Linked DNA regions of Lytechinus pictus. The main gene of each other region encodes a partner of the protein of the gene in region 2 in a complex. Links are inferred from orthologs where the notes say so. Each region holds a gene or a part of one and is shown on either strand. Other genes may lie near its edges.

What was found.
Region 1: telomerase Cajal body protein 1-like (region 2) and H/ACA ribonucleoprotein complex subunit DKC1-like share a complex: the UniProt entries of both Homo sapiens proteins name them as parts of the telomerase holoenzyme complex. The link is inferred for Lytechinus pictus from reciprocal best matches to the Homo sapiens genes WRAP53 and DKC1.

What each region holds. Positions count from the first base shown.
Region 1 is NC_087260.1:13,295,261-13,302,773, forward strand, and holds the start of H/ACA ribonucleoprotein complex subunit DKC1-like, read right to left. Parts: upstream 3,021-7,513; 5' UTR 2,813-3,020; intron 1,483-2,812; 5' UTR 1,425-1,482; coding exon 1,409-1,424; intron 1-1,408.
Region 2 is NC_087260.1:24,212,024-24,219,113, forward strand, and holds the start of telomerase Cajal body protein 1-like, read right to left. Parts: upstream 3,010-7,090; 5' UTR 2,937-3,009; intron 1-2,936. UniProt on the Homo sapiens protein: RNA chaperone that plays a key role in telomere maintenance and RNA localization to Cajal bodies. Specifically recognizes and binds the Cajal body box (CAB box) present in both small Cajal body RNAs (scaRNAs) and telomerase RNA template component (TERC).

The DNA.
Region 1 (7,513 bases), about 11 Mb from region 2:
GGGTAATTTTTTATGAGGAATCTGCTTAGGCCTATCACATTTTTATTTGCCGCCAAGTTAATCCTTTTGCAGCAAATGTAAACAAAGGAAATTGGACTCCAAAACTGGAGACTGTCTCTGAAATCTGGAAATTGGATACCCAAATTCTTTACAAAAGTCTCTGATATTGGAGATAATCTCCCACATTGGAGACAGTCTCCAAATAATATTGGCCGTGCACCTCTACACAGCGAACAATTGTGTACAACGGATAGCGGAGCGTGAACGTAGCGGTCGTGTACATTTTTGCTTATTACATGACGTCATCCAGCCACTGCCGAGAGCCAATTTATGAATGAAAATATAGTAAGCATGCGCAGTGCAAGCCTTCCATTTCCCCACACAGTATTCCACCAAAACAAGTGTGCAATTCTCTATCACCTCCTAGCAAAATCGGCCTAGAATTTCACTTTCCTATATTTTATATGAATTATGAAAGGTATTTTCGGAGGATCTATTTTCTCACCCATACCACACAGGTAAGTGAATTTCGATTACTTCTTGCTTTTCCGTCAAAATCTTACGAATTAGCGTCTGTATGTCATTGTGTTCATTGGAATTTGTAGAGTCTATCGCAACGTACTCAAAGTCAATTGGCTTCCGGGTTTCGGAGCGTCGCGTGAATATGCATGAAATTGCAGAGTTTCGATAATTTTCGATCGATACCGGAGTGATCCGATCACGGACCAAGTCCATTTTCCGTGTACACAACGTGACCGGATATCGTTATCGCTATCGATACTTCGGCACACAGTCCGAAGGAATTATTTTTGGGACCAAGTGGTCATGACGTGGTCTGCGCGATTGACCAATCAGCGGTCTTCGAATCGCTGTGCGGAGACGATCTATCCGTTGTACACAGTCTATGGACAATTGTTCGTTGTGCTCTACTGCTAAAAAGTGCTAGTGACTATTTTTTAATTGGTAAAAAGAAACCTAAATTGGCAAAAAAATGACAAAATTAACTTAAAATAGTTAAATGGAGGTGTGGGGCTGGCAAGAAATTCAGAAAATTAATGTGCTTTCAGCATGTTCAGTATTGTATCACCATGCAATTGTGCCCGCAATTGTTAATCAACAGCATTATACCAAACAGTCCACCAGTTTATGCAGTCCCCGCCCGCTCCGCTGGCCCATCCAAATTGAGCCATGCAGCGCAGCGGGTACTCACGAAGCCACGTGCGCGTGGTCGACCGTTTTTCACGTCCACGTTGATCACCAAAACCCACTCGCAACAATTTATACAACATACTTCAACAACAGAACTCATACACAATTCATGATAATGTTGAATCACATCAAACAACTATAGTAATTCGTATATCATACAATGAATAACAATTTAAGGCATTTTTAATTGAATATTCACCTGCACTCCCATCCATGTTTACCCTCTAGTGCACTTCAACGGAGAGGGCGTGATCATCGAATTGAAGCTGCGGGCTAGAAATATCGGTGATGAAAGAATACATGGTAGTTTCTATTTTATTTTATTTCCTTTTCTTTTCCTTGTTTTTTTTTGGGGGGTAATTTGATAGCAGATTCTTTTATGAATGATATACTTTAATTCCTCGTGAAAATTATTACCTTATTTCTCTAAATCTATATTCATAATCTTCTATGATTTGTGTAATGTATTATCACTCAACCTTTTTACGGTATATAAATTGCCAATTCGTCTATTGCAACACAATCGTCCACTCATCACATGGTCTAACTTCATTTAGTCTACTCTAATGCCATTCTGTCCATCAACATTTCTCCTATAACAACCATTCGGTCCAAAAAACATTTGGTCCAATCATCACTAGATCGTCTGACCATTTCGTTTAACCATTTGGTCTAAAATCCATTTAATTTTCTTTCATTTCGTGCAATTAACATCGTTATATATTCCAATTAGACAAAATGGTATATGGACTATTATTTTGGCTATTGGACCCAGTGGCGGACCGTGACCCGGAGGAGACAAAGCATTGGAGGGGCACAACATTGTTCACAAACAATACAGTGCCCCTCCAATGCTTAGTCTCCTCCGGGTCACGGTCCACTACTGATTGGACCAATTGGTTATTAGACGAAATGGTGAGTGAACAAAATGGCAATTAGACCAATGCAGATAGTGGACGAACTGATGGTAGACCAAATGATAGCTAGTAGACGAGTTGGTATATTTATGGACGATTTGGCATTAGACCAAGTGATAATACACCTTTTTTACCCCCTTCCCCCCACAACTCCTCACGGCATGCATACCGTTACGCAGTGGAGTAACTACGCGGGGGCACGTGCACCCCCCCCCCCCCCAAGCTGGCCAAAAAAGGAGAAAAGGAGGGAGAAAGAAAGAGAAACGTAGTGGGGGAGAAGAAATTATTGTATATTATACTATATTATATTATATTATATTATATTATATTATATTATATTATATTATATTATATTATATTATATTATATTATATTATATTATATTATATTATATTATATTATATTATATTATATTATATTATAGTATAGTATAGTATAGTATAGTATAGTATAGTATAGTATACAAATATACTTTGCCTTGAGAGTTTCTGGTTAAAACTATGGGCAAGAGGTGACTCCAGAATAGTACTATTCACTGAGGGGCGCAGCCCCGAAGTGAATGGTACTATTGGAGGCACCGAGGCCCATAGTTTTAACCAGAAACTCGAAATTATGGCAGAGTATATTTGTTTTATATTTTGGATTAAAAATTTTAAACAAAAGGAAAAAACAGAATAATGGCTTACCTTTTATCCTCTCTTGTCACTCTGATGGTCTTGTGCTCTTTTCTTAAATAATATCAAATTTTAATGAAATCCAAGTTTTAATAGTCAATGAAAATGTCTGAAAAAGTCAAAGCATAAACTGTAGTCTAAACATTAAAAAACGTAGTCGCCACGTCGCGAGAGTCGCCCATGGTAAGCACTCGAGCTCTCGTATACCCCGCTGAATGTTGGTGATTTTGATATCACGCGCATCAGGCGTATGGCGCCGTGACGTCATTTCCCCAAATAGTTTTACTATTTGGGGAAATTACGTCACAAAAATGACGTAATTTTCCCAAATAGTATGCCTAGCTGCCAACATTCCAAAATAGTTGAAAATACACATAATCACGTGAAGCTCTTTGAGCCAATGACCAGAGGATAAATTTTTGATCCAAAATATAATATAGTATATTATTGTATTGTATTGTATTGTATTGTATTATATTATATTATATTATATTATATTATATTATATTATATTATATTATATTATATTATATTATATTATATTATATTATATTATATTATATTATATTATATTATATTATATTCTATTCTATTCTATTCTATTCTATTCTATTCTATTCTATTATATTATATTATATTATAGTATATCATATTATATTGTATTATATTATATCATTATCATATCATATCATATTGTATTATATTATATTTATTTATATATATTATATTACTTTTTTTTCATCCTTTATGAAACATAATTATTAGAGCCTGGCCTTCCTGGTGCTCGCATTATCTGTTTAATGAGATACATAGTCCTGTTCTACTAAAACATTTCGTTTTCAAGTCAATTAATATACACCAAATATTTCCCGGCACTTACAGTTATTATTGTTTTATGTATAATCATGGGCGGAAATCTGTCCCGAAAGGTAGGGGGGACCACAGGGGCGGATCCAGCCTTCGCCAATAGGGGGGGGGGTTCAGCCATATTTTAATCCCCGATTGGCCGCTCGATGATGATTTTTGTTTGTTTCATTAAAGGGGTAGTCTTCGTGGTCACTTTTTAGCTTTATTCTTATAAATCAACATAAATATATAATATCATAATCAATATTTATATAATGCGAGCGCGAAGCGCGAGCAAATTTTTTTTTGGTTTTGTTTAGGGGGGGGGGGGTTTTATGTATTTTTTCCTAAAATTTTGAACATTCTGGGCAATGTTTGCTATCCTGAAAAAGATGTGTATGTAAATGAATAATTACTACGAACGTGAAGCGCTAGCAGAAATGAACTGATGGATAAGGTACCTGTTACAGACTGCTTGTAGTTAGCCATGAAGACGTTACATATTTCAACAATTAAATAATGCGAGTGCGAAGCGCGAGTTGAAATTTTTTGACATTTTTACCTAAGGAATGAAAATTCTAAGCACTTTTTGTAATTCAAACAGATAGGCATATAATTAAACAATTGATGCGAGCGCGAAGCGCGAGCGGAAAAAAAAATCGAGATTTAGACCTAAAAACGACACACTCTATTCATGTTTTGTAAATCATGAAAAGAATGAGTAATAGGGGATCTTCCTACATTAATAATGCGAGCACAAAGCGCGAGCAGAGTTTTTGATATTGTGATCTGAAACTGGATAACGATTTAAATATAGAACAAGTTGAGTATCTGAATAAACATGCGCGGGCGTGTTTCATATTCAGACCTAGAATCTAGGCATTCTACACATCTTTTATTATGAAAAATCAGAGCGAGCGCGAAGCGCGAGCTTAAAATATATGATATTCCAATCTGAAAAAAAAAGTTAATTTCAGCTATTTATTTCAAGCACTTTGTAGGAAAATCGTGAGGTGGATATGGATCGTACTTAATAAAGAGCTGATATTTTTCATTATTATTTGAGATTTGACATAGGACTGGGACATCCTTAGGACATGTCATATGAAAATGATGACTATCTTACTATCCCTCTTGCTAAGCGCGAGATGAAACAAAAGGGACAATTTAATCATTAAATTAATATCTTATTTATTAATGCCTAATGAGGGGGGGGGGAATCTGATGATATTATGGCCTGAAAACTGGACATTTCAAGCACTTTTGTAATTCTGAATAGAATGCATCAGTTAAAAAAAAAATTTTACCATTAATGCGAGCGCAAAATAATAGGTACTTAATAAATCGAAATTTGCGAGCGCTCAGCACGAGCAGAAAATTTCAATATTCAGACCATAAAGCTATCATTTTAACAGAGCACCTTTTAAAAATCAGTTTGTTAATCACACAAAATAATGAAAGTTCGATTTCCGAGGTGAAATGTGTAATGTATATTGACTTCCAAACTTGATATTTAAGATCCATGTTGAACAATCACCTAACAGGCAATGCGAGCGCGAAGCGCGACCGAAAATTTTATATAGTGACATGAAAGATTCTTTTTATTTTCCAAGTCTTCCCCTCATCTTATTTTATTCACTCTGGAAAATTTGACAAGCAAAAAAAAAGTTTTCACCCAAAATGTAAGGTCATTTAGTTCAAAAGACATGTATTATTTCGAATGTGAATGATGCATTTTTTTCCATCATAAAAGACCAAAAATAGTAGGGGGGACATTTGATATTGTGTCCCCCCTACTATTTTTGGTAGGGGGGACACGTCCCCCCTGTCCCCCCTGGGATTTCCGCCCATGTGTATAATAGTGACATATCATGACTATACTTGAAGTGATTCCCCCTTTTAAGGTCTATATACACATAAAAAAACATGCACAGTCTAGGCTTACGTTCGCATTAGTGGATTGGTGAGATATTCTGCTCTTCATGAATTCCTAACTGAAAACAGTCCTTAAAATGTCCCTTTTTCTGTTCTATTATCAAAAATTTTCAGCTCGCGCTTCGCGCTCGCATCATTGAAATATGTATGATCTTAGTGAATTTTAAGCCCAAAATGTCCCTCTTAAATGTTGCATATTCGTTCATACCCAAGGATGATAAAAATATAAAATCATTACCTATAACCTTTTGTGACATGGTGGTAAGGTGTTTCTGTTTATAGGGCAATTAACTTTACCTGTATCCCTACATTGGGTAAAAGTTTCAGTTTCCACATACCTGTACGCTCTATATTTTCAATAACATTGATCCACCGATATTATTCAGGACTTCAGAAAGCCTGTTTGTGAAATACGGCACAAAATAATAACAGTAGCGTAAGTATAAATATTTGAGTGGCCAGATCGATATGATGTATCAGATAAAATTATAACAAATTGCGAGCAAGCGAAGCAAGCTAGCAAAAATTTAGACATTGTTTCCCAAATAGCCGATTTTCATTGTGATATATATATATATTGTCAAAATAGGCCTACATGTCGACCTATACATGTAGGGCCTAATCTATTAAGCCATTAGTTTCACCCTTCTCTCTTTCCCCGGTCTCTTTCCTTTTCTCTTCCTTTTTTCTTGGTCGTGGAAAATTGGGGGCAAGCGCCCCAAGCCCCCCATCTGTACGCCACAGATTTCATATCAGTTTTCTGAATATATCATAGAGATATATATCTCTATGGAATATATACATATGTCAGGGGCGGATCCAGCCTTCGCCAATAGGGGGGCGGAATTTTTTTTCAGCCACATTTTCCCCGATCTGCCGCTCGAAGTTAATTTTTGTTTGTTTCTTTGACGAGTAGTCCTAATGGTCACTTCTAAGCTTTATATATGTATATACATTCATATAATATCATAAGCCTTATTTAAAAAGTGCGAGCGCGAAGCGCGAGCAGAAATTTTTAATATATGCGTTTTGATCTGATAAAAAAAGGATCTGTTAACGGCAGCTTCTTAGCCACGAAGACGTTACATATTTCAACTATCAAATAATGCGAGCGTGAAGCGCGAGCTGAAAATTTTGACATTTTTACCTGAAGAATGAAAAACGATAAGTATATAACTAAATAATTGATGCGAGCACAAAGCACGAGCTGAAAAAATCTAGATTAAACCTAAAAATGGGACACTCGATTCATATTTTGTAAATCATGAAAAGGATGAGTAATTGGAAATCTTCCTATATTAATAATGCGAGCGCAAAGCGCGAACATAATTTTTTTTTTTTTTTTTTAATATACGTTTTGATCTGATCAAAAAAAGGATCTGTTAACGGCTGCTTTATAGCCATGAAGATGTTACATATTTTTAGAGCGATCTGAAAATTTTGACATATCTACCTGAAAAATTGAAATTCTAAGCACTTTTTGTAATCGTGAAAAGGATAAGTATATAACTAAACAATTGATGCGAGCGCAAAGCGCGAGCGGAAAAATTCTGGACACTCTATTCATGTTTTGTAAATCATGAAAAGGATGAGTAGGCCTAATTGGAAAGTTTCCTACATTAATAATGCGAGCGCAAAGCGCGAGCATGCAGACAATTTTTGATACTGTGATCTGAAACTGGATAATGATTTAAATAGAGAACTAGCTGCGTTTCTGAAGAAACGTGAAACGCGTGTTTCAGATTTTGACCTAGAATTTGGGTATTCTAAATACCTTTCTTATTATGAAAATCAATAAAGTGAGCGCAAAGCGCGAGCTAAAAATATATGATATTCCGATCTGAAAAAGGGTCAATTTAAACTCTGTATTTCAAGCACTTTGTAGGGAAATTGTGAGGTACCGTGGATATGGATCACAGTTTAAAAAGAGCT
Region 2 (7,090 bases):
ACCTCATGGCCTGAACATCCAAGAGGGGAACGACTGATTTTTCTTTCCTATCCACTTTCAATTTATATATACATATAATTTTTCCCCTCAGCTCTTTTGAATAGTTACATTATAGTTTCTTACTCTACTTTCCTCCCATATCTCATACAAGCTCAGCTCCAATTTTTCCTTCCTTATTCAGGCGATATAATTATTATTATATATATATATATATATATATATATATATATTTGTTTTTTCTCCACTCACCTCTTTTAGATTTACCACATTTGCTTATTTACATGTATACTATGGTTTCTTCATAATACACCCCCTCTCCTCTATATTTGCTTTTACCTTTTTAGGCAATTTGCTTCCTCTTTTTCACATATACAGATTTTTTTTCTTTCCTACTATATAGTCTTATGTTTTTTCCCGTCACACCTAGCGGATTACCATATCAGTTACACCATATGTGTATATATTTATATATTTTTTCATATACATTTCTTTTTTGGATATATTTATATACATATCACTTATAGATACATATTTACACTTACCTTCTTCTCTTAGTTTGTTTAATGCTTTATCATATATACTTATATGTCTTTTGCACATTATCAGTTGTTCCCCATTCTTTTTCTTCTTTTTTCCCCCCACTCTTATGCACCAGTTTATTAAGCCTTTCTTTGTAACCTGTTTGACCCACCTCTCACCAATTCTCTAGTTATTCATCCCTCTATCACTGTTTTGTTCCAGATCCTGTTTGATGTTGCCTGCCTCATTATCTTAATCCCTCTTGGCCTTACTTACACTAACTTCCCTTTGTGTCTGCCTACTCCTTTTCTTTCATCCCCTTCACTAACCTGATTGGTCTTCTCTACTCACTAATGCCCCTTTTGTCTCCTTGTTTCTAGTGTTGCTGTAGCTTGTTTGTGGTCTATATTATGGTTGTTCCACTTTATATGTTTGTCATTTTGCCTCCGACGAAGATTCTGCTAGGATCGAAAGCTTAGGCCCCCTTTTGACTTTATAATTTACTCCATTGGCTCTCTTTTATTAGATAAGCAGTTTTCAGCAGCTTCTTTTTGCCATTGATTTACATTCTTATCTCATGCTTCACATTCCCTCTTCAGTGCCATCATTTCATCTCCTGCTTTGCATTCCTTATACAATACTATTTGCAATGTTCTTTTCTTCATGTTGATTCCATGGCTCAGTTGATTTACTCTGAATGTTTAAGCCTTTAGAAAAAGTAATGTTTATTCATGAATAGAAGCTCATTTTCAATTTAATTTGAAAGCCTTTTATATTCATGTATTTTTTGTATACAAATTATCTAAGTTGAACACTTACTGTTCAACAAATTATTCATGCAAATAAACACTGAATTTGAGGTTGGTACACCATCTCCAGGCAGCAAGCAAGGATTAAAGTACTCATACTAGTACGAGGTTAGTAAGTATGAGTATGCTATACTAACCTCGTACACCGAACCGCGTTTGACCCCAATCGGTAACACCCCTATACTTACCCGTGTTAGGAAACTGGGACTCGATTCACGCGCATTCGGGCCGCCCTAGCTTAGAACTAAGCATTAATATCACAAAATTGTTTTACTCTACTAATTAAATGTATTCTGTGGAAGGATCAGCTCATAGAGAGTTGCATGCATCGTGCCTTGATTTTACCTAGACAGCTGGCAGCCGTCTGTTTCGAGGAGTTTTTTTAACATTTTTTTTATTTTATTTCTCCTCATACACAGACGGCTCGCTATCGTGCAGCCACCATTAGGGGACTTACAATGCAAAATCCCCCCGTCGGGGCTCTTCAATTTTTGTCTTTAATGAATCAAACTTTTGAAAATTACCGCGACCGAAATGCAAATTAATATTCCCTCTTGGCATTAATTGCCAAAAAACGGGGAAAAGCAAGTTAAAAGGAACAAAAACAGTGACTTACCTCGGCTGTCGCGCAACTTCACTGCCCTGTATTATCCGAACTTAATACACATAAACATATGGCCATTGAGTCCCCTGTACAGATCGCGCTAGAACTTCGGTCTCTGTATTTGGTGAGTGAAGCCAACGGAGTTCAGCTGAACAACCAACATAACAGAGACCGAAGCTTTTGGTCTAGATTTTACCGTGCACGGCGGCAGTAATGCACCCATGGGTGGGATTCAAGTTGTGTCTTGTATAACTCTGTAGGGATATACCACGCCCATATGCTCACCCAAGGCCACCGCTTTTCTGAATATTATCACGATCGTGAACGCTTCGCATTGCCGTGGCTATGCCATAATTTTAATATGGACTGAAGTTAATAACCAAAACTGTGCAAACATTTGGCGAGCAAACGAGTGAGTTGCCGCAGTTCAATCTTTGTTGCTAACTTCAGTCTTTATCAAAATTACAACGAAGCCAAGAAAAGCGATGTCTGACTGAGATTGAGAAGTTTGATGACGTACTTACTAATCATGCTAATACTAATACAGTAATACTAATAGTAATATGCCGTAGTAATATAATATAGTCTAGACTCTAGAGATCGGAGCCAAAGCGAAGTACAGCCATTCCTGATCACGATATTTGAAAAACGGTGGAAATGTGTATTGTTTATTGGCCTCGAAATGTGACCAAGAGACTTGCCATGACATTTGCGAACAATTTCTGGTGGGGAAATTTGATCAAAGTCGGCCGGTGCGAAACTGCATTAGCACCCCAGCCCCAGGCCTCACTCGCCACGAACTTACACCAACGAAGACGAATGGGACTGAGGTGAGAAAGAGATCTGCAGGAAAATTGTCACATGGCTCGAAAAACAATATATGAGTAGCTTTAAATCCATTTGATTCACCACACAAATTCACTTAACGCAATCTCCTCGCATGAAACACTAAATTTTAGTACGTTTGCTATGTAAATATCATAAATTTATATCATTAAACTTACCAAGTCAGACAAGGTGTTCAATTACGGTGTCGTCAAAACGTCCAACGCTCTTGGAGGAATATTTGTTTGTAAGTTAGCAATAGCAAAAAGAAAAACGAAATCAGATTGTCACACGGGCAATAACTGCACAAAGCGGGGCATGGGAGTGTAAAATAAGACGTCATCCCCCCAAAAAAAAACAATAATAATAATCAAACAAACAAACAAAACAAAACAAAACAAAAAAACGCGAAAACGAAAAAAATATAATGAAAAATTGATAAATTTACATATAAATTTTACAGAAAAAAGGGTTTCGATCATGAAGGATGAGGAAAATGCCATGCTCTCCATTGTGTAATACACTTATTATCTCACTTCATAAAGAATAGATGTATGACTGAGTTTGCTTGAATGTGAAATCCTAAAAGGCAGATCAAAGATTTTTTTTTAAGTATGATAATAAATACACTAACTGATGTTCTGATAAGTGCATTCAATTTTTTGGGGGATGGTAAAAGAAATCATATATAAAATGAATGGTCTGGAAAGGAAATGAAATTATTGTCCAATCGGACATTAATGCTCAGCTGATTGCAGCAAACTTTAATCTCTTTGTCGCATCCTAATCATCAGCTTTCCACTGTATATGAGTAATGGACAGTGACATTGTAATATGCAAGGGGGGAATGAACAAGCCTGAAGGGTCCTTAATTGGATTTACCTTTGAGGATCTGACTGTTTTAACCCGGTTTAAACTCCAAGAAGTTCCTCATGCTGCTCACATACCCCTTCATCTCTCACTCCTCAAACGAGACAATTGTTTTTTTTCAAAAAAAAAATGCTTAGCAGATTGCGAGTGTCATGTGGGACAGAGGACGACGCCCCAAGAGCCTTGGAATGAGTCTAAGAAGGGGTGCTAGCATTTAAAAGAAATATTTGACAAGTAAAAAAAAACGACTGTCACTCCAAAATGTAAATGATTTTGATCAAGGAAAATTTGACAAGCAATTAAAAGAACAAACAAAAGGAAGAGGGGTTCATTCCAGAATGAAGCTTAATATTATACCAACCACATTATTTTCCAGGGGTGCTGCGAAATCTTGCGGGCCGGTGTTGAGCACCCCCGCTTCCCAGTGCCATGCACACCCCTCCCCCCATTTTTTTTTCAAATAGTAAAAATAGGAGGAAATGGGGGGGGGGGAGAAAAGAGAATAAAGAATGAAGAAGGGAGAGAAAGGTAATTTTGGGCAGTATAAGTTTGTTTTTTTCGTATCGTCCAAACCCCAGAGGTTGACATTTTACTTTTTTTTGCTAAAATTTTTCAAATCTGGAATACAAGAGAAGAGATAAATCAGCACACCGTTGTATAATCGCTTATTCAATCATCATCATCAGCATCATCACCACCACCACCATAATCATCATCACCGTCATCATCATCATTATCATTGTCATCATCACCACCACCATCACCACATCATCATCACCACCACCCCACCACCACCACCACCATCACCATCATCATCACCATCATCAACATCATCACCACCACCACCACCACCATCATCATCACCATCACCACCACCACCACCACCACCACCACCACCACCATCACCATCATCATCATCATCACCATCATCATCATCATCACCACCATCACCACATCATCATCATCATCACCCCACCACCACCACCATCACCACATCATCACTACCCCATCACCACCACCATCACCATCATCATCATCATCATCATCACCATCATCATCATCATCATCACCACCACCATCATCATCATCACCACCCCACCACCACCACCACCACCATCATCATCATCATCATCATCATCATCATCACCATCATCATCATCATCACCACCATCATCATCATCATCATCATCATCATCACCACCATCACCATCATCATCACCACCACCATCATCATCACCACCACCACCACCACCATCATCTTCATCATCATCACCACCACCACCATAATCATCATCTCCGTCATCATCATTGCCATGAAGATGTATCATACGCAGCGCCATCTCATTTGATTTGCGTCACTAATTCTAGCCGAAAAGCCCAACTGTGTTCCCATGCATCTAACTCTGAGTCAGTCTATTTTAAATAGCTTGTCTCGCCTAAGATTATTTGAGAAGCTATTCAAGCCATGTTTTAGTGTCAAATATTACTTGTTTTCTTCTTATTATATTTTTTATTCATTTATTTATTTTTTGTCTATTCATTTATTTTTTGATGTTGATTGGTTTTTATTGGCGCTCTCACTAAAAAGGGAATATATGAACCAATACAATTTATTTTATCATATCACTTTAATTTTTCATCATTATTTTCAGTAGATAAGGCCTTATATTTCAGGAGATTTGAGAAACATAAGGTCATTAATTTGATAGAAGAAATTTCGCAAGCGCGCACTGTAAAAGATAGCGCCTCTTCGCTTTAAGCCACATCATTGATGAGTCACTTTTATTTATTTATTTTTTTTTTTTGGGGGGGGGTGTCTGAAGGTTATGTACGCCATCGTTTTGTTGTCACGAATTCGATCATCTCTTCAAAGATATACAATATTCAATGGGGAACCATGGATCGTAATATGGGGGCACGGGGAAAAATGAGTTACTTATTTGGCGCGCAAAGCGCACTGCAAGGATTTGTTGAACTAGGCTAGGGCCAGATTCAAGAACAACAAAAAATAATAATATATAAATGCAAAGGTTCGGTTAAATTTATACAGGGATAAGGTTGGAATGTAGGAGTCTGTGTGTGACAGTTCAGCAATTTAAGTTTCAAAAAATGATAAATTTATGTGAGACGGATGTGCATTACAAGCCATGGTGTTTCCACTGGCCTATATACAGATAGGGGATGGACCCCAACAAATTTTCACGATCAAGAAAAAAAGGGGGCGAAAGAGAATGAAAGAAAATGTGTAAAATATGAAATTACTTTCTAATTATCGTGTCAAAGTCTATCACAAAATAAGATTTTTGTATTAAAAGGGTCAAAATCTTTGCTAGCTCGCTTCGCTCACAGCTCTAAAAACTTTACACCAAACCACGCCTAGCCTCCTTCAATTTTTTTTACTCATTACGATACTGGGTGTTTCTAGATATTTCATTTATCTTTTCAGGCAATATGTTCTTGGTTTGGGTAGATTTATTTTGGCTCTGATATACGATATGGATAGATATGGGCTATCAACTCAAATTCACTTCCCGATTATATATGATTTTGTAGATCATAGACGATTGAAACGGGAGTAGGTTTTGATGGGTGATTTTTGGTTTTCACCTACATGGGATTCGATTTTGAAAATATATATTCTCTGACTTTTCAAAAGTATATCGAGTGGAAACCAATATCCTGTATAATGAAGTCACAATAATTAATGACCTCGATCTGATTAAAGTGATAACCTGTTATCATGTTAAGTGCCGTGCTTCAATTTTCGTTAAAATAAACGGGTTCACCCAAATCCCTATACCCTCTCCCTTGCTTTCTCCATATCTGGTAATATAATTTTCCAAATTGAATGACTCAATACATTTTATTCCACATTCAACTGGGACAAGTACTGCTCCTTTAAGCACTGGCGTATACAGGGGGTGGGGCTGCGGGGAGGGAGCATAGGACCCTAGTCAAAATCTATCACAAAAAATAAAAAGTTCAAAACTTTTGCTCGCTCGCAGCTTTCTATGAAATTCCTCGGTGCGCCATGTCTGCCCCCTACCTATTTTTTTTTTACTTATTTATTTTTTGTTCGTTTGCATTATTTTTAGAGAGATGTATATCGTATTCAAGCTTACAATAAAAGTGATTGAATGTTTTATATCAATGTACACAGCAGCTCGACCTGGCGCTTCGCACTCGCATTTAGTTTGCTTTAAGAGAATTACTTTTGTGTATTCTTATTGATGGTCCTTAAAATATGCCATTTTCAGGTGAGTATTTCAAAGATTTCAGATCGAACTGTTTATCTGGTTATCAAATGCCCTCTTCATAGTAACGAAATTTAGATTGCGCTTTTTCGGCTTGCGTTATTCATGCTTAAAGCGAAACCTAATATTGTTCCTAAAATTAAAGTCCAATGTATTTAAAAGAAATTATTTAGAAAAACTTTGGCTATTCAACAGTATTCAAACAGCTG